Medicago truncatula: one gene and its partner. The protein of the gene in region 1 interacts with the protein of each later gene in a pairwise test. Links are inferred from orthologs where the notes say so. Each region holds a gene or a part of one and is shown in the gene's direction. Other genes may lie near its edges.

Evidence for each region.
Region 2: the proteins of nuclear cap-binding protein subunit 1 (region 1) and nuclear cap-binding protein subunit 2 interact in binary tests that used the Arabidopsis thaliana proteins (3 or more experiments, as listed by UniProt). The link is inferred for Medicago truncatula from reciprocal best matches to the Arabidopsis thaliana genes ABH1 and CBP20.

The regions. Positions count from the first base shown.
Region 1 is NC_053048.1:39,055,430-39,065,748, reverse strand, and holds the start of nuclear cap-binding protein subunit 1, read left to right. Parts: upstream 1-6,283; 5' UTR 6,284-6,457; coding exon 6,458-6,541; intron 6,542-6,638; coding exon 6,639-6,698; intron 6,699-7,577; coding exon 7,578-7,634; intron 7,635-8,685; coding exon 8,686-8,757; intron 8,758-10,319. UniProt on the Arabidopsis thaliana protein: Component of the cap-binding complex (CBC), which binds cotranscriptionally to the 5'-cap of pre-mRNAs and is involved in various processes such as pre-mRNA splicing and RNA-mediated gene silencing (RNAi) by microRNAs (miRNAs).
Region 2 is NC_053043.1:44,906,246-44,917,293, forward strand, and holds nuclear cap-binding protein subunit 2, read left to right. Parts: upstream 1-5,686; 5' UTR 5,687-5,830; coding exon 5,831-5,848; intron 5,849-5,936; coding exon 5,937-6,160; intron 6,161-7,742; coding exon 7,743-7,881; intron 7,882-8,600; coding exon 8,601-8,634; intron 8,635-8,929; coding exon 8,930-9,040; intron 9,041-9,737; coding exon 9,738-9,794; intron 9,795-9,917; coding exon 9,918-10,039; intron 10,040-10,298; coding exon 10,299-10,373; 3' UTR 10,374-10,747; downstream 10,748-11,048. Other genes in the region: protein NUCLEAR FUSION DEFECTIVE 6, mitochondrial, read right to left, coding at 3,245-3,267, 3,340-3,461, 3,646-3,794.

The DNA.
Region 1 (10,319 bases):
ATTGTATTTAACATGTTGTAGGTTTAGTTTTGAGGATTTGGGAATTAGGGTTAAAAGTGATGAATTGTTGATTATATGATTGAAACCTTGGGTAATCTTAACCACAGAGCTTGAAGTGAACTTTTGTTATTCTTGAGAACTTTTATGAAAAATGTGAGTTTTGTAAAATAATATTTTGGGTCATCTTTTATGTGGTTTTGAGTGCCTTAACATGTATAGAAATGGTTAGACAAGTTTTTGGATCAAATTTGTGCATAGAGAAGTTAAAATTCGAATTTTGGGGTAAAAAAATGGGTTTTTCCCGAGTTGCTCTCTGACAGCATGTCTTGTTTCATGTTCTTGCGTCTTTTTCACACATTTCTGTTTTGAATTGGCCTTTGGTGTAAACATGAAAGTTGTAGATAATTGAGTTAGTTTTCCAGTGACTTTGGTTTGACATGAAAATGATTTTTGGTTCTTGAGATATGATGAAAATACTCCAAGTAGGTCTTAATGAAATTTTATGAAAATACAGCATAACCGTTTATAAGTTAATCCAAAACTTATGGAATAATTTCAAACCTCAAAACTATAAGTACTAGGAGTTTAATTAAGGGGTTTAAGAGTATTTAACATGTGTTGTGATGGATCTAATTTGGTTGGACGTGAATATATTTGTTGAATAATTTGAGATACATATATTATGTGAATATTGTATGATATAGAAATAATGTTGTTCATGATTGATGATTTTTATGTATATGTTGATGAATATGATTTAATGTTGATAGTAATGTAATATATTTGTATATGCATTATGTGAATTATATAAGATCTTTAAGTTGATGTTGATTATCATTTGATGTTGTTATATCTTGAGATGTTTACGTGTTGCCTATGTTGTTGTTGTTGGTTATGTGAAATATTTATACGCCTTATGTGGAAAATGTATGATGTTTAAATTGTTGATACTTTTCATTAATATTGTTATGTTGTGAATTGCTTGTGTTGTTTCTGTTGCTGTTGAATATTGATCAAGTTGCAGGTGGTGGTCTAAGTTGTAAAGTTGCAAGTTGTCGTTCCAAAGTATTGGAGTCTTAAGTTGTCGATGTTGTCTAAGTTGTAAGTTGTCGTTCCAAAGTATTGGAGTCTTAAGTTGTTGATGTTGTCCAGGTTGTAAGTTGTTGAGTCTATGCATATTTATTTAAGTTGAGGGCTTGATGCCCTGGAGCCTTTGCTCAACACGTTGGGGCTTGATGCCCTGGGAGTATATTAATGCTCAGATAAGTTGAGGGCTTGATGCCCTGGGAGCCTATTTACGCTCAATACGTTGGGGGCTTGATTCCCTGGATTGGTACCACATGCATGATTAAGAAGTTGAAGTTGCATTGTTGAGTCAAAGTCGTTGTTGATGAGTTGTCATCCATGAGTCGTTAAGTTGTTGAGTTGTCTTCTACCCATGTGTTGTTAATGAAGTGCTTATGAAGATTATACGATGTTATGAAGCTATATGATGTTGATTATGATGTTGTTATGTTATTATGATGTTGTTTATGATATTGATTATAATGTTATGATGTTGTTTACGATGTTGATTATATGATGCTATTATGATGGTATATGATGTTGATTATGATGTTGTTATGATGCTATATGATGTTGTTATGATATTGTTAAGCGATGATTTTTATGAAGTGATGATTATGTTGTTATGCGATGATTTTTATGATGTCATGTTATGTTGTTATAAGATGATCTTTATGATGCGTTGTTTATGTTGTTATAAGATGATCTTTATGATGTGTCGTTTATGTCGTTATGAGACGATATTTATGTTGTGTTGTTTATGTTGTTATATGATGAATGTATATGATGTGGTGAATATGATATTAATGAGGACTAGAAGTTGATTGAGCTATTAATGAAGTACTATATGAAGAATTATTATTATTAATTGATGATGTTTAAGTTGTTAAATGCTTTTGATGAATTATATGCTTATTATTATTGAATGTGAAATCTCACCCTTTCTGCTTGGAAATGTTGCCCACCATGGGTAACTTGCAGGTAACCAAGAATAGTTGATTTCGTGTGAGATTTCTCTCTCGTGTGTCTTAGGTGCTCTGATACGTAATGGGATGAGATTTTGTTGTTGCTTTCTATTCCTTACGTATTATTTTATGAATTATCATGAACATGTTGTTGGAAGAATTTTAAGAGATTTTATGTTGAGGCCCTTGTGCCAAAGTTGTTTACAAGTTGAATAATTTCCGCTGCGAAGTAATAAATATTATGACGTTGAATTTTGAAGGATAAATAGTTATTTTATTCCGTTTATGATTTTATGAAAAGAAGTGTGACACTCCGTTTATGTTGAAATACTCTGATTTATATGTGAAATTTTTAAGTTGGGAAAACAGGGTGTTACAAATTGCATTACATTTCTTCCTATTGATTCTTATTGATTGCACTTCCCTCTATTGACTCTTCTGAATGTTTGCATTGCACTTCTCCTTGTTAATTCTTCTGATTGATTGCACTTCTCCTTATTTATTTTTCTAATTGATTGCATTTGAATTCTCCTTGTTTTTTCTTCTGATTGATTGCACCTCTCCTTATTGATTCTTCTATTTGGTTGCTCCTCTCTCCAATGACATTACTTTTTCCCTTCAAAGACTATAATGAATTTGTGCTCGCCAATCACTTTCTTCTTGTGTTCCACGTCGTACCAATGAAGCTTCCATCTTTGACGCTACCAGAGTTTGTTGATAACTCTCTAATCCCAACCATCATGTCCAGCAAGTTTATAGTATTAACACATAGATCCTTCTCACATTTGACTCTTTGTGATGTTTTGATTACGAAATTGGACATTCTTATCACACCATCACTTGCATCTTATGGTATACAACATCTAATGAAATACTTTGAGTATCCTGTAGTTAATTTTGTTCAAATTTCAATTATGAAGACAATAATGAAACCATGTCATGTTTTCTAAGGATTTTAGAATTGATATTAGTTATAGTTTTCGTTATTGTTGTAGTTTTTGTGATGAAGAATATACATATTGACAAAGACATAAGTGTTAAAACTCCATTGTATTTTTTTTATGCTTAAATATGTATTTGATCCTTGCAATTAGGAGTCGTTTAAAAATTGGTCCCTGTAATCGCTAATCCTGGCAATTTACCCTTGCATTGTTTAATCATTGAAAATTTCGTCCCTCTCCCCACTTAATCACTGCCACGCCACATGAAATTCCAATTCTACCCCTGAGTTTCCAATTCTTTCTTCAATATCTTGTCCTCTTCTTAAGGGCAAAAATGGAATTTCATGTGTGGCAGTGATTAAGTTGGTCAAATGACGAAATTTTAAATGATTGCAAGACTAGTTTGCAAGGATTAGCGAATACAGGGACCAGTTTTTAAACGACCCCTAATTGCAAGGATCAAATACATATTTAAGCCTTTTTTTTATGAGACTATGATAGGGCTGAGAACGGGTCGGATTCGGTTCTAAAACATCCTTTACGAGTTTTACTTTACTCAATGCCTTATGAGTTTTATTAATTCATTATCTTTGAATTGATCTTTTTTTTGTTACTCAATTTTAATCTCAACTTTTCTAATAGTTCGATAATGTTTAATATCAGCTTTTTGAATAGTCTACTACTCATTGAGGAAAATTAAAGTTTGTGTGACATTTACAAATTCTTCTAAACTTTAATTTTTGAAATATGAGACTTGCTTTTCTGGTTTATTTTTAAAAACTGGTGTATGTTACACTTGTTAATGTCACAATGGTGTACTGGTTTTATGTTGCAATATTGACAAAACAAGCGATGTGAAAAAAACAATACGGCGGTAAAGTATCAGACCATGTGATTACGTTGTTGGCTTAAATCATCCATCAACATGTGAAAAAACAAGAAAAGAACACGATTAAGATTGAAAATCAATCTAATCGACAAAACAGACTCTCACAAGGGGCGATGAGTGAAACCGTAGGAGAGAAAAATCGCAAAAAATTATTATTATTTATCTTTATATATATACACTATTGATATAAAGAAAATATCATATTTTGACTCTTTTGAGCTGATTTTTTTCCTTTCAAAATTACCCTTAAGTTTCAAAACAACTAACACATATAATAAACAGATAAGGGTAAATTCAAATATTAAAATAAAAGTATAACAAACACGATATGAAAAATGTAACAAATTAGATGAGGATATCTATACTTACTTTTTCATTATCTCAATTATACCTTTAAACAACCCTTTCCATCATAACGATCGGTGTTGGTGTTATTAAAAAAAAAGAATTCAAATTATATTGTTTTGTTATATTGTTGCTGTCATTGAAATTGATAATCATGGTTAGTTTGATTTATTATAACTTGAAAGCAAAAAACATTTATATTTTTATTATTAATCAAAATTAAAATTTCATAAAAACAACCGTTCATAATTTTCAAACATTAGCGCAGTAAAATAGCGAGATTATTTTTTGAAACAATTATGAATAAATTTTCAAAATTAATTAAATTTTATAAAATAATAAAAAATGCTAAAAGAAAATTAAGTAATTATATATATACATTTAAATTCATCAACGCTACTTAATAAACAATATTAATACTTTTTGAAAAAAAACATAAATGAATAAATAACTGTATTATATTTTGGGACACGATAAATAAATATATGATATAAATACCATATGCGGTCCTTTAAGTTATATGTTCGTTGCAAGTTACTCCTTTAAGTTTTTTTTTGTTAGAAATTGGTCATTTAAGTCATAAAACATGTGCATCATCATCATATTTTTATCAAATTCGATTAAAAAGTGTTTATGTGGAGATTTAATTTAAGTTGGTATGTCCGAATTCACCGTTCTCAAAACTAGAGTTCATATGCGTACTATTCAATCTTGATTTGAAAAAAAATTGCTTGTTTACTGGATTTATAATACAGTTGATGGAATATTTATGTGTAAAACTAGATTTAAATACAAAAATAAGAAAAAAAAATGTGCATAAGTAATCATATTAAATGTCATAAATATCTTCGAACCTACCACCTAAATATTAAGTTGTTCATAAATTTTTTTTTAACGAAGTTGGTTGTTTTATAAAAAAAATGAAGTTGACCGTAAAAATGGGTAACAATGTATTATAGCTTAAAGAACCCACTTTTAACAAAGAAAAACTTAAAAAGCTAATTTATAACAAAAAAAGATTAAATGACCAACTTATTAGAGACATCAAACTTAAAAAACAATAAGAGGTATTTGACCAATTATATATAAATGACAAAACTACTCGTGCCTTAAAAATTATATTTAATTCCTTAAAAAATTAAATTAGTCAAATACCTCCGATTCTTCTTTAAGATTGACGTCGTTTTATAAAAAAAAAAATCGAGTTATTATGAATATTGATCTAGGTGACATATGTTTAATTAATGTTTTTCTTAAGTTGCGGTTTGATTTAATTTGATTTGTAAAATAAAAATCGTAAACCAAACCAAAACATGTTGTTGAATAAAAAAATGATTAAATACATTCTTATCAAATGTGGTTTTTTGCGATTTCGATTTATCTTAGTTTAGTTTGTAATTTTTCTATTTAAACGATTCAATTTTAAAACGCCGCTGGTTCTATTCTATTTGTTTCTAAATACATTCTTATCAAATGTGGTTTTTTTCATGCATTTTTTTAAACTACCAATTTGGTCCTCTTTTCAAGGTCATTATCAAATTAGTGATGACTCTAGTAATATTTTAAAACAATCTATATCTTTGTCAAAAGTTTTTCAATTAGATCATTGTCTCTATGTTTTTGTCACACGATGAATGATTTAATTGAGAAACTTTTAACAAATATACAAATTATTTTAAAATATTGTCAAAAGTTTCACGATTAATTTTTTTTCTTCACATAACAAGAGACTTACTTGAAAAACTTTCGACAAAGACTAAATATATAGAATCTAATTTTTTCTTATTTTTGATATTCGAATAAATACACATTTTAAATTTACTTCTTATTATCAATTTATACTAAATGTTTAGTAAAAAAAATAATACTAAATAAATAGTGCATTTAAGCGATTCTGTCAATCTCGACAAGTGACCAAATTGAAACATTAACGGAGTCAAAAATTAATTTGACAATGATCTATAAAGACATATACCAATTTGATAGTTTACTCATTTATTATTATTATTTTTTTTTTGTAAGGAATATAAAATATTTTGAATGAAATGAAAATCTGAATTGAATGACTACAAAATCTATCTAAAAGTGAAAGAGGACACTGAACAGTACCGGCACACTACACCAGCGTTGGTTTAGTTTAGGTAATTTGTTAGGGTTCAGCCGTTGAAGGTGAAATAGGGTTTTCGATCTATATATAAAACCCTACAAACGACTCCTTCACTCTGCAAACACCTTCTTCTTCTTCGTCAACGATGAATGGTTGGAGAAGCCTCATTCTACGGATCGGTGATAAGAGTCCCGAATATGGAACTTCCTCCGACTTCAAAGATCACATTGTTCGCTTTCTTCTTCTCTCTTTCGCCTTTTCCGCTCAACTTATTCTTCAATTCGATTATTTGATTCTCCTAACGCGTTTTTTTCATAATTTTTCAGGAAACCTGTTTTGGTGTCCTTCGTCGTGAGCTCGACAACTCTCAAACTGAGATTTTGGAGGTAAGTACTCCATTTCTGATGCTTATTGTTGCTTCAACAATTCAAACGTTTTTAATTTGCCTCTTCTTTTTATAAGTGTATCACAATTTTTGACTGCTTCAAATAAGCGCTTCCTTGATAATTGATTTTGTCATCTACTTACAACTAGCTTTGATTTGTGTTTTATAAGTGTGTCACAATTTTTGACAAGAATTGATTCTGAGTGAATTGATTCTTGCTAAAGTTGCATGTAAAGTGATTTGTGTTTTAATACATTTATGTAAAAGTGAGTTGAATTATAAATTTGTGTGTTAGAATCAAGCTAAACATAATTTTAGAGTTAGAATTGCTTCTGGCACTTTGAAAAATACTTCCAAGGCATCTAAATTAAATGTGAAACCAAACACCCTTGATCCATTTTCTCTGTTGGGGAAAATACAATCACGAGTTGGTGCATGTTTGGATTCACAAGTGAGTTTGGCAGAATCATGACAAGCTACAGTGTTTTTGCAAAAGCTACAGTTTTCAAGCTTCAACAAAGTGGCCGTGCCACCTTGATTTGGTCGATCCACCGTTATTCCAAACATGCAATGAACATACTTATTTGCTTCTGAAATATGTATGAACATTGAAGCTCGATTAAAATGTAGAACTATAATATGTGGCAGGTTGTATAAGGACTTTCTAGTTGTCTTTCTGTATTTTTCTCTATTTTCAAATTAAAGTATTCATTATTTTTTATTTTGCTATCATATGTTCAGTGTGCGATGCATTCCATATTTTGACGGTGTCTAGTGTGCCTTATAAATTTTTATCTATCGTCTTTTTTTTTTTCTTCGTCACGACATGACACTTCAATGTTTGGTATCATGACATGTTTACTTTATTGTCTTCATGCAGTTCCTTCTTACATGTGCTGAGCAATTGCCTCACAAGATTCCTTTCTATGGAACCCTGGTAGAGATTTACTTCTCTCTTTATCTCTCTTGAACTGCAAATGACCTGCATTATTCACTTCACTGTATGTTCTAATATTTTTTCTGAATTAGGACATGTATGTAAGCGTTCATGCATGTTTCATAGTAGGACATGTATGTAAGTGTTCATGTATGTTTCTTAGATACAAGATGCTCTTATTATTTATTATTAGTGGGTATGTGTGTTTGTGTGTGCGTGTGTGTGTTTTCGAGGTTGATTTATATGTGTGAACATACTGTACTAATTTGATTAATCAGTATGAGAAATTGGTCACCACTAAGTTATGACAGTGGAAGTCTATCTAGTTATTTTGGGGATGATTTACATCAGAAATTGTCGTTATGGTATATGGTAGTTTATCTGATCAACCAAATGTGCTAACTTTCCCACCTTTTCCATGTACTAATTAATTTTCAATTGCAAACCTAATCAATTTTATATTGCACAAGTTTGTTACTTGGCTGCTCTGCGAATGTCAATTGTCCTTTAAAATTGAAACAAACATAGGAATCACTGCTATAGCTTATATATATTTATATGGTTAAATAAATTTATTTAAAGATCCATTGTTCATATTTTCTATTATTTTATCACTTAAGACCACATTTTAGTTAAATTTTATTATGTTCCCTGCGTCATGATGGATTTGTTTCACAAAATATGTGTATAATATCTAATGGACGTGCCTTTCAAAGTTGGAGTGCATATAACCTGCAGGTTTTTGAAAAACAAAAAGCTTTTAAAATTTTATAATGACGTGATATAGTAGAAGAAGCAACATAGTTTGTCACATTTTTTCGCTTTTCGAGTTATATTCTACCATTATTTGATGCATTTTGCAACAAATGCCAAATATTTCTATCGGTTTACTGTAATTATCCTGTTTCCAATTCTGTATCTTCTATTTTTTTCACATCTACTTACCATCCCAATTATGTATTATGAATTTCCTTGTACATCTCGAGTAGTTTCCAAATTCAAAATTTAGTTTCTGAGCTTCCTACGTTTCCTACTTATACATTTTATTCAGATTGGCCTGATAAACTTGGAAAATGAGGACTTTGTGAAAAGACTAGTGGAGCAAACTCGATCTAAATTTCAGGTTAGTGATTAAGCCACTGAGGCTACTATAATTCGTTTAACATTAGTTAATAATTCTTAACCTTAGGTTGCATATTAGAATTTGAAATTTAAATGTAGTTTTTTTTTCCTTCAGTTTTGACAACTATGTAGACTGCTTGCCAAATGGATTGTTTAGTATTTGATTCGGAAAGCTACTTTTATTGATTTTTTTTAAGGTTTCATATTTGTTAATGTTTGATCAAGTTAGGAGCAGAGGTTGTCACCATTTAATCCAAAACGGCCAACGTTGGTCGCAGGTGTATGACATGGCAGGTTTGATACTATATGCTATAAAAATATTTAGGACTAGGAGTGGGTATGATGGGTTGTCCATTGAGGTGCCATACCACCTGCCACAAGCGAAGTTGGAATCTCATTTTCGCTCCTTTGCATTCAACGGGCGTGCAACTTTTGGAGTGTTTGTGTTGTGACCATGTCTGTGATACAAAAACCATTTACTTCACCCAAAACACTCATTGCCTATTTCACATGCTAAGGTTGTCTTGACTAAGTGAAGTAGGTTCCCTACTCTCTCAAACTGCACTTGAATAGCCACAAAGCTCATCAAAATCATGTTTAGTCATCATACCATCCAAATTATTAACGAAATAAAGTTTATTAGTTTTCATAGAATTTGTAGTTAGGCCTAACACAAACCCACAAAACCTTGTGAGGTGAGGACTGCCCCCACTTATAAACACTTGTGCATGCCATCACTTATCCGATGTGGGACCCATATGCCCAACACTATTGGGCTTGGTGCGTGGATATATATGGTGGGTGACCCGATAGCGAAAACCTGATAGAAGGTGACCCGATAGGTCTTGGAGGAGACTTGGATACCATCTTAGAATTTTTGGTTGGGCCTACACAACCCCACAAATCCGGCTTGTGAGGTGAGGACCGCCCCCACTTATAAACACTTGTTCAGGCCATACTCTTATCCGATGTGAGACTCTTTAACAAGTTTCATGTGATATTGTCATTAGTAATTTCATATTTTAACTATGGCCACTGCATTTGCACTTCAATTCCTGGAAGGTGGTAAATAATGGGAGACTGGTGTAGTGATGTCTGGTGTAGTGGTGTCAGGAATCATCACGTATTAAGGGCACAACTTTAAGCTGTTGAATGTTCTTCAAATTTATTTTCTTAAATATGAGACTATGGACCATTCAACTAAGAAATAGGAGCATATAGCTCAAACTAACTAATGTTACTAATAGCCACAAAAAACAATACAAAGACGAGGATCCAGTTAGACAAAATTAAAGGCCATATAATGAGTTAATTTTTGCATGAAGGAGTATTACATTTTTCTTGCAGTGAACTGAATGTTTTAATTGTGACAATCAATTACTACCATGTTTATTTTCATTAATTTTTTATAATACGAAATTGACATCTTTTCTTCGCTTCATCCAAAAATACTCCGGTGCATTTTGGCCTGCCACCATTGGCTTGATTGACAATTCTGATTATTTTTTATTTTGTGGATTATTGGCAACTCTGATTTAGTCATTAATGATATGAAATTAGTGG
Region 2 (11,048 bases), on another chromosome or scaffold:
GGGATCTGATGTATTAGTATTGGATACGATCACCTTACAATTTCATGACCTTAGTTTTTGATGGAATCTAATGGATTAGTGCTGGATATCTCACACAAACATGGACTTTCAGTGACATTAGTGTTGATATCATCAACTTGCCAACATAAATGGAACTATCATATCTAGCCATATTGCAGTCGACTTCTTAATTATTACCTTTCCCTGATTGCACGTTGGTGGTGCATCTTTCATGATCACCAATCCATAATTGGGTGTTGGTGGCACAACTTCTTTCAATGATGAATAATCCTTCAGATCACACTCCCATGTTTGGGTGGCGCATTGAAAACCATTCTCCTTCTGCCCATTATGAAGCAGAGAAACCTAAGTAGAAGCTTTCATACTCTTTCATAAAAGTTCTTATTGCCATTAAATTGACCTCCAAACTTGGTTCAACCAGCTGTCGCTGAGGAAAATTGAAATTGTATGCCCTTTAAATTATAAAACTCTATTATTTAACTTATGGTTTTCCTCTTTTTATTTTTCAAAACTTGCTATCATATTCATATATAACTCCTGTAAAAAAAAAAAAAAAAAAAAAATTTCAGTGAACAACATAAGGTCTTGTTAACAACATGATCCCTAAAGAGTGTTCGGGACACTCGTTAACATTTTTCAACATAATATTATCTTTTGTTGACCCTTGCCCATCCATTCCTAAGTTAGTTTGGACTCGTTTGTAATCCTTATCATTCATTGATGTTAAACTGGTTGGCTTGAAAAAGTCGTTTACCTTGTTTGAATCATTAAGTTGGAATTTTGATGCGGTTCAATTTAAAATTGAAAACATAATAGATCTAGACTAATTTTAGTCAATCGTTGTCGTAGTTATATTTTAAACTCGTAGACTAGTATGTGTGAGTGTGTGTGTGTGTGTGTATATATATATTGGTTTAATTTATTATTGAAACCATAATAGATTTGAGAAAATAGGCAACTTGGTCATTGATTTTGTTCTCTAAATTTTAGAATAGAAAAATAGACCGTTAATTAGTTGTGTAAGTTTCTTCCCTCCATCAACTTTAGACGCTGCTCTTGATGACGTGCATGCTAAATATTGCACTACACTAGATTACAACACTATCGTTTAACTCCGTGCGTAATCAAACATAACATTTGAAATAAACGGATGGATGAAACTAGTTGATGCAGAAGCAGAACTAATTTACAGACAGATTGTGTTTTTTCAATAAAAACCTTGAACCGTGATTACAAATTTAGAGACTTAGTTGCCGATTCACTAGAATATATTTATACTTAATTTAAGTCATTTTTGCAGTCATTTTATATTATTATGTTTGAGGAACTTCAACTAGTTCAATACTTATTTTGTTGGGAAGATTGAGATGCCATGGAAACCATTTTCAAATAAAGATGGCGGATTGAAAATAGACTATTAGTATCAAACAAAGGTGGACAGCTTTTTGGAATTTTAAGTGAAAACACAAAACCGTAATAACTTTAAAAAGAAGGGAGGCAAGGCAAAACATATAATAGTTCAAATATCCAATTATTCAATTCAAAGCTCGTATTTTATTAAGTATTATTATCAATCCAACTTTGATAGCCGCGAAGTAAATTTTGAGAGCATAATCTGAATAGCATTCTGTAGTTATCACATCATGAACCCTCCTCTCCTTCTGAAAGTTAAAAAGACGAGGCAAATGAGAAAATTGGAAAACTAATGCCCAAAAAGAGAAATTTTATCACTAAACCAGACATAAAACATCCCTAGCCGATTAAATAAGAAATTTCAAAAGAACATGGACAAAAAAGACAACTTATCCAACACTCTGCGAAACAATTTCAGCTTATTGACTTTAGACACTAATAATTATGGTGGAAAGTAGGCTTTTATAAATCTAGAAAAGAAACAACAGAGTTACAAGTGGTCTAGCTTTTCAAAAGTTCCTTTCAGCCTTTAGGACTCAATTTAACCCACCAATGGCTCAGACAAGACACTCTCATGAAGTAGATAGTACATAAAAGATTGCTTCGATCTTCAGAACACTTATCACACATCATCATTGCAATCTGATTAAACAAAAGAGATCAGTATGTACCTTTATTATTAATTTATCCTACAAATTGAATCAGTTATGGATTTAAAGACAGGATTTAAGAAGTTAAGTCACACAAAATAGATGCATATACTCTTTCAAATAATCCAACATAACAGACACAGGAAATAAAATGAATTCAAGAGAAACTCTAACAAGAATGCCGGGTATTTGTTGAAGTTATAGTTTTAAGAAAAAGAAGGAGAAGAATAAGAAATAAAAGTAGGATTTTGAATATGACAAAAAATCCTACTATCATATCCAAAGTCCGGACAATTGTACCCAAGATGTATAAAATTTTGAACAATAAGATTGATAAAAACAGAGAAATATTTATTTCCTAAAACACAAAGTAAACTGAGAATCCAGCTTGATGATATTCTCACTAATCCAAGAGCAGATAAATTTGCTCTAAATTTATACAATAAATAGTGATATATATTATCTAGCATTTTTTCTTTATCAGATTTTGTTTTTGTTTAAAGTCCAACATCATAAGAGGTCCACGTCATCCCAACCTTGCTTCTTGATCTTCAAATAGTCTCTTTGCCTACATACAAAAGGAGCATGAATGGCTTCACTAAAGATTTAGTTGCTTGAGAGCAGGGAAAGCAGAAGACACAGGGAATAACTTAATCCATTAATCTTTGCTACAAGATTAATAATTATAGAAAGATACAGGTATATGAACCCCCTTTTTCCCAAAGATATGAATAATTATATTTCATGTATATATTTTGAACATGTTTCCTATTAACAATAGCAAGACTCCATTAAGTTTAACTCGATAATTCAAAAAATACACCACCTTACCCGAAAATTAAATTGAAGAAAGAACACAAGGAATCCTAGAGATGTTTACCTACCTAATTCAAAAGTAAAACCTATCCGTCAAGTAAAACCTAACTCAAATAGGTCTCTTGACGTTTTAATATTTCAAAAAGCTCCATGACTCTATCAAATTTTTCTCATATTACTAGTCCTTGCGACAACACGCTAAGGAACAAATTGATAGTAAGTAGTTAAATATAGGGACACAATTGATATTAAGCTGTTAAAATATATGGAACTTGTTAGTACGTTGTGAAAATATATGAATCTAACCAGGGACCAAATTGACGGTTTAACAGAGCTGGAGAATCTCAGGGATCTAATTGAGTGCACCCTACAAAGTCATGGACTAATTTAGCGGTTTACTCGATGATAATTGCATTAAAGTGGTAGTGTCAGACAATACCTTCAGGAAGCCATGCGTAGCTGCGTTGAGAAACAACTAACTTCGAAGTCATCAACGCCGAAGCAGTTGCCGAATGAAACGGCAACATAGATTCCATACAGAAGCTCAATTCAACAGGACACCTTCACACACAAACAATTCCACAAAAAATAAAAATAAAATCAAAATCAAAATCACTCATTTTCAGCTCATTAAATTAACCACATTAAAATTGAATTAACACTAAATTGAGCACTATAAGCATGTAAAAAACAACGATTAATTCGTAAAAATGCTACAAAAGGAGCAATAATAGTAGTGAATTACCTGAATGCGGATTGGGATATAGGTTTGTTCGAGGCGATTCGGAAAGGAGTGCGAGCTGATTTAGCTTCTGAAGCTAGACGGAAGGCGGAGCGGGAGATGGAGGAAGATCGAAAAATCGATCTCGCGGCGGTTCCGGCGACGGAGGCCATTTTCGTTATCGGAAAGTTTTTAGGGTTTGCGTAGGTTCTGCACAGGCAACGGTTTAGGATTCTACGAAACTTTGTAAAACCCTGCTTCAGTTGATGGACTCAAAAGTGAAAAATGGGCCTAAAAAAGTTTGGGGCTTAAACTTTGGTAGAATTGTTCTTTGAATTCTGCTCTTCACACAGCACTTTTCGCTCGCGCCATGCAATCATTCCAAAAATACCCCTTTGATAGTTAACTCACGTTAGGGAAAATGTGAATTTTCTTATTCATTTGGCAGCTAGTACTGCTTTATGTGTAATTGCTATATATGCTATACCATGCAGCAAGCAACCTTGTTCTATCCACTAGTTCATATTAGAGAATTTTATCTAGTATAAACACCTGTGATTATACCATGCAGCAAGCAACTCTCGGCTACTAATAGTGGTCGCCACCTAATCATAGGCTAATATAGCCATCTTTACATGTGTTGTTTGTCCAAAACTCCACCTCATCCATCTTCTTTTTCATTGAATGCAACTTGGCCAACTTTTGATTTTGGATTGAAATGCATTTTGGCTATGCAGCAATAAAAACGCGACTGTCCTTTTAGAATTATGAACTAGCGTGAGTTAACTCAAGCAGCGTTACTTAATTAGCGCATAGTTTTACATTTGCGTTATGGCTTAAATGCTCTTTTGGTCCCTTAACTATTTAATTGGTATCATTTTGGTCCCTTAACTAAAAAAAAGATTGTTTGAGGATTTTAAGTTTTTTTTTAGTCTCGTTTTGGTCCCTTCTGTTAGGTTTCCGTTAGGGTTTTAAAAAAAAAGTTAACTCCTGGACACGTGTCACCTTGTCATTGGCTCTGAGATTTTTTTTTTGTAAAAAAAAATTCTCAGAGCCAATGACAAGGTGACACGTGTCCACACTTAACGTTTTTTATTAAAACTAACGGAAACCTAACAGAAGGGACCAAAACGAGACTAAAAAAAAACTTAAAATCCTCAAACAATTTTTTTTTAGTTAAGGGACCAAAGCGATACCAATTAAATAGTTAAAGGACCAAAAGAGCATTTAAGCCTTTGCGTTATTTAACTAGTGCAAGGGTAAATTTGGAACGGCTGTAGGGCGTGAGTAAAATGTGCAGGGTGGAGAGCATAATTTTTGCTCTTCTCCCACCCATCTGTTTTTACTCATTCCTGCCCTACGTTAGTTAATTCACGTTGAAAAAATACAACTGCGTAAGTTAACTCACACTCGACTACTTTGATGGGGATGAATAAATACAGATGGAAGAAAAGCAATTATCAAAACTTTGACCTCTACAAAATAAAATGAGAGTTGTTTTTATCCTTAGTTGTTCAAACTTTTCCACACATCATATATTTATATTTATTTTTCAAACTAAGCCAAGATCATTGTTCAATTGTGGCTAAACTTTTAATCCAAAACTTATATTTTAAAATACTCAAATTTAAGTTTTTTGAAACATGTCTTTTGAGAATACTCAAATTTTGATGGAGCATATTTCTTTTCAAATGAGATGTGTGTTTCCTTTTTTGTTTTTTAAATCATTTGTTCTGGGAACAAGTTTTCAGTTCAGTATTTAAACTATCATTTTTTCTTTAAATTGTTTTTAATCAATTAATTAAATCTCTACTCTATAGATTCTTAAAATTTAAAATAATAGACGAGATAAAGGGTATTTTAGAGTTCCCGTGAGTATAACTCAGTTGGCAGGGACATGCATAATTATATGCAGGGAATGAGATTCGAACCCCAGACACCGCACTTATTCACCTTGAAAAAAAGTGAATTCTACTTGACAAAAAAAAAAAAAAAGGGTATTTTAGATATTTAAATGATTTTGTGGGGGGTAGGAAGCATAGTAGAGGGGTATAATAGAGAACTTTCTTCGTAAAACTAGACTCACATTTCGGGTCAAAACGATCCACGTGAAGAAAGAGTTCATCTTCTCGAACTTCACTGCCCTAATCGCAACATTTCCTCTTCATTTTACATGAATTTCCACTCATAACATTCTCGCTCAGTAACAATGGCGTTGTTATTCAAGGTACACTATTCAACTCTATTAGGTTTTCGCTATTTGATTCAATTATTTGATTTTGATTTCAATTTTTTCTTCTTTGCAAATGTTTTAGGATCCGGCGAAGATCTCGGCATACAGAGATAGAAGATTCCCTGGAAATCAAGAAGAATTTGAGCATGCGCTTAAAACTTCAACCACCGTTTACGTTGGGAACATGTCGTTTTACACTACGGAAGAGCAAATTTACGAGCTTTTTACACGAGCTGGTGAAATTAAGAAGATTATCATGGGTTTGGATAAGAACACCAAAACTCCATGTGGCTTTTGCTTCGTTTTGTAAGTTACAATTTCTGTTCAAACTTTACAAATACTAATGTAGTTATTTTAATTTCTAGGTATTAGCCTAGGCCCTTTTTGGATAAACAACTTAATTTATAGCATAAGCGCTTAGGCCCTGTTTGGCGAAGAAATAGCAAATAGCTGATAAATTAGCTTTTAGCGGACGAACTTATAGAGATAATTTAGCTGATTGAACTTGCACTGTTTGGTAAAATTAATGTTTGAACTAACTTAAAAATATGAACTGACTTAAAGGTGATATATTTATAAATATGAAATGACATAAAAGTGATATATTTAATGAATATTTAAATTTTTTCAATTAAGATTACAAGGATGAAATTGAGATAAACAATGAAAGGTATAATATACTTGGATTAGCTTGTCATTTTTTTTTGAAGAAGACTTGGATTAGCTTATCATAAAACGCTATAAGCTAGTAAAATTAAGCTATAAGCTTGTGAGAAAGTGACAGTTACCAAACAGGTCTTTTTCATCCAATTAAGCTTATAAGACATAAGCTATTAAGCTCAAAATTATGTATTACTACCAAACAAACCCTAATTATGAAATGGCACATGTTTAATTAATATTTATTTTGTTTCAAGTAAATGACGGGTAAAAGTGAGAGTAAATGATAAGCTTTAAGCTATAAGCTCTTGAGAAAAAAATGTAAGCAAATGGTTCTTTCTTAACCATATGACCTTATAAGCTGTAAGCTCAAAATTTGGCATTGGCAAACAGAGCCTTATTCTAAGCTATTTCCTTAAATAAGCTAAAATAAGTCAGGCTGTTTTCCTGGAGAGCTTATGGAAATAAGTTGAAAACAGATTATTAACATGTCATAAGCTGGTTTAATAAGTTCTCCCAAACATTTTCACAAGTGATGATGCTAGTTGATAAAGCTCAAATAAACAAATCCAAACAGACCATTAATTTATACAAAAATGATAGTATCATACCTTGCATAGAATGTGAGTGAAACGGAGAGTGATAGAGTGATTGTGTTTAGTTATACTCCCTCCATTTCAAAATGAGTGTCGTTTTAGCCAAAAAAAATTGTTTCAAAATGAATGTCGTTTTCAACTTTCAATGAACAATTGATTTTTCTTTTCCATCTTTGCCCCTCATTAAAATAAGTACTTTAAGAAGTTAGTAACATGTGCTGGTGTCAACTTCTTTTGGGAAAAGTGAAATACATATGGGAAAAGTGCTAAACACCCATTTTAATTGGCTTAATGATACATCTTCCATTGAAAACGTGAAATACATATGGAAAATAGTAAGGCTATTTTAGTAAAATTGCTATGACATTTGACCACTTTATTCCTTTCCTTAATCTGTGTGCAATTGGCTAAAACGATACTCATTTTGAAATGGAGGGAGTAGAAAAACGTGTGAGAAGAAAGGAACTATAGATTGTATCTATTTGAATTGAATAGTGTAGTTGGTGATAATGCATTGTTAATTTATTGGCTATTGAATAAATAACGTAGTACTGATTGATGGTTTTGGGTATGTATTTAACTGAGTACCGATTGATGATTTTGGGTATGTATTTAATTGTTATTGTTACTAGATATTACTCTCGTGAAGATACTGAGGATGCTTGCAAATATATAAGTGGGACTATACTGGATGATCGCCCTATTCGTGTTGATTTTGACTGGGGATTCCAGGATGGAAGACAGTGGGGTCGCGGTCGTAGTGGCGGCCAGGTGAACAACTTTAGTGCATCTAAGTGTGTATATTTTAAATTAGTAGTCGAAGCCCATGTTTACCTGGACAATTTGATTATTTTTTGTTGTATTTTTACAAATTTTTGTTTTCAGCATTTACACCATCAGAAAAGAGAATAACTTAATGCTTCACAAATTTTTTGCTTAGAGTGAATATTTTAAACTAGTTGTCGAGTCTATAGTTTACCTAGACAATTTGGTTATTTTTAGTTGCATTTTACAAATTACTGTTTTCACTTTTCAGCATTTACACCATTAGAAAACAGAATTAACACAATGGTTACAACAAACTACAACCAAACCTTATCCTATTAAGTAGGGTTGGCTACATGGATCAAATAACACCATAATGTTATACATTCTATTTCAACTCATTATATTCTGACGTAATGTTCTGTCACATTTCAGTGCTTTACATAAACAATGTTATTTTCTTCTTATCACAATGACTCATCCTAATTTTTAAAATATCAATTATCTTGGACTCTTGCTTGAAGAGTTGTTTTTTCATTTTCTTTTCAACATACAAATTTTATATATTCTACAATAACCGTGTAGTATCCCATAGTTTTTAAGATTTATCAGCTTCCATATCCCAATGTTGTATTGTGTTATATGTTTTCCAGTTCTTATGGCTTTGTTTTCTAAGGTTGCTTTAGTTCTTGGCTGATATTTTCCGGTGCTGTTAATTTTTGCAGGTGCGTGATGAATATCGCACTGATTATGATCCAGATATCCTTTTTACTGTTTTTCATAAATTTATCTGTTATTGCCTTCATTTGTGATTCTTATTATTTTAGAATGAACTTCACATTTGATCAAGGACATCCCTACATGTTCAAACAAATAAATTTATTAGATCCACTATGATTTTACCTGGTCTAGTTGAAATTGAATAATGTATATTCCCATACCTTCACTTGATCTTGAACAAGAAATTTGACATCAAAATTACTTCAGAAAATACTCGCTTGCACTAGTATCTGTATTTCTACTAGTCTCCTTTTGTTTCCTTAATTCTACATACGTAGGGGTGGATATGGAAAGTTGGTTCAGAAAGAGTTAGAAGTACAAAGGCATCTTGTAGACTACGGCACTGGTTCTTTGGGATCTTTTCCGCCAGTTATTCCATCTTCGTGTAAGTTACTGTTTTATTTTATATGGATCTTCAGCTGCTCGTAGCAACCCTGGCTCAACATTTTACTTGTTTTTGATAACAAAATTTGATCAATGTATTTTTATTTTATTACTTTTTTAGTTTTCAGATTTGCAAATTATGTGGCTACTTATTAACCTACTTGATTTTTATTGAATGATAAGTAACAACACTGACTTGAAAGGACATCGAATTATGGACTACTCTCATTGCTTCATTAGCCCATACTTCTGTTTACATTGTTAGTTGAGCATAGCACTGTCTCTGTGTAAATATGCAATACACGAGGCAGCCTCCAACGATGTGCACTCTTTCAGTTAGCCTGTCCTCTCCTGCATCCTATTTATTGTGCAGTATGAATAATAATGCAAAGTGATGCCTTCAATAGCAAATACCGCCATAGCGTTTAGGGTTTAAATATATTTTCCTAATGGTTAAAATTCAAAGACAGTTTCTATCACTTAAATATTCTTAGACTTTATTATAATCTCCATACTGTATGCTAGGCTGAAGTATCCACATCTGTTGGTCTTATGAACTACGCACCAGCCTCTCATTGTTTTTTTTTTTGTTTGCCTTTTTTCAACTATCTAACATCCTGTTACATTTTATAATTTGTGGTAGTTCTCTATCATTTATTCTCTGCAAATTTAACGGTTCAGCAATTTTAATCTTGCAGATGGTAGACATGGTGGTGGCCATGGTCACGGTGGTTCCTATAGGCATGGCAGAGGAGGTAGTTTCATCTCAAAGCAATTTCTTTTGTCCATCAACTTTTAAGAAGCACTTTGGATTACTGTTATTATTTGCCTTTGAAATTACAAATGATTTAATTAAAATTGTCTCTTTGGCATTATAGATTATCAAAGGAAGAGATACAGAGACGATGACCGCTACACACATGAGCCCTCAAAAAGAACATCAGATCATGAATCTCGAAGGAACTCTGACCATAAGAACTCTGACCATGAATCTAGACCAGTGAGCTCTACAAATCTTGATGATGCTTTTGTCTAACTGTTCAATTATATATAATAGTTCCAGTTGCCATACCAAATAGTATGACATAGCATGTGGTGTGGAACTTGTTTCGTTAACCAAAAGCTTATGCTTCTATTTGTATTGTCATGCCTAAAATTTCTATCACTGCTAATATTAGTCGATATTCTTGTTACAAAAATGTCATTTTTCCTCCTTGCTGATCCAAGTATTATTTGTCTTAATTTGATCTGGTTGCCAGGAAAAAAATCCACGGTTTCGGGAGAGTGGTGATTCTGATGATGAGGAGGAAGATGATCGTAAAAGACGGGGTTAACCAGAATGTCATACTCAATCAAGCTGATATGCATTGAAAGTTTTTCTTCTGGCATGATGATAAGTGGCAAATTGTTGTACATCATTGCAAATTGCAAAAAAGTTACTGTTAGCTTAACCTTATGATATTCTTGGCTACATCTGCTGCATGTGGCAGTGCTAAATTGTGTCTTGTAGCAATAGTTTTCTTATGCCTTGTTTTTTCTCATAATTAGAATTAGTTAACTTTCCGGATCTGTATGCACAAGGCATCAGCTTATTAGGTAAATGATGTGGCATTGATCCTGTTTGATTAATCTGGCAGTGTGTGTGCGTGATATATAGCTTGCTGGCCTTCACAATGTTAAAATTACTTAAAATGCAATTTTATTGAAACTATCTATCTATTTATGTTCCTATGCATACTTCCACCCCTACCCCAGCCAATAGCCTATTCGTCTTGTAGGAAAAAGAAGGTTATTTGTGCGTATGAATACCCTTCATATCATTCAGTTCAGATATTGGTTAAGAACCCCAAAGTTCGCACTTTGTGCTGAAGGACTATAATGAATTTATTACACTTTAGCTCAACAAGAATGGTAAGGATCCTCCACCATTACCTTCACCATAAAAATAGAGAAAAATGGACCGCCAAACAAGGATGGATCTATATGTTAACATTCACATTGGGGACATT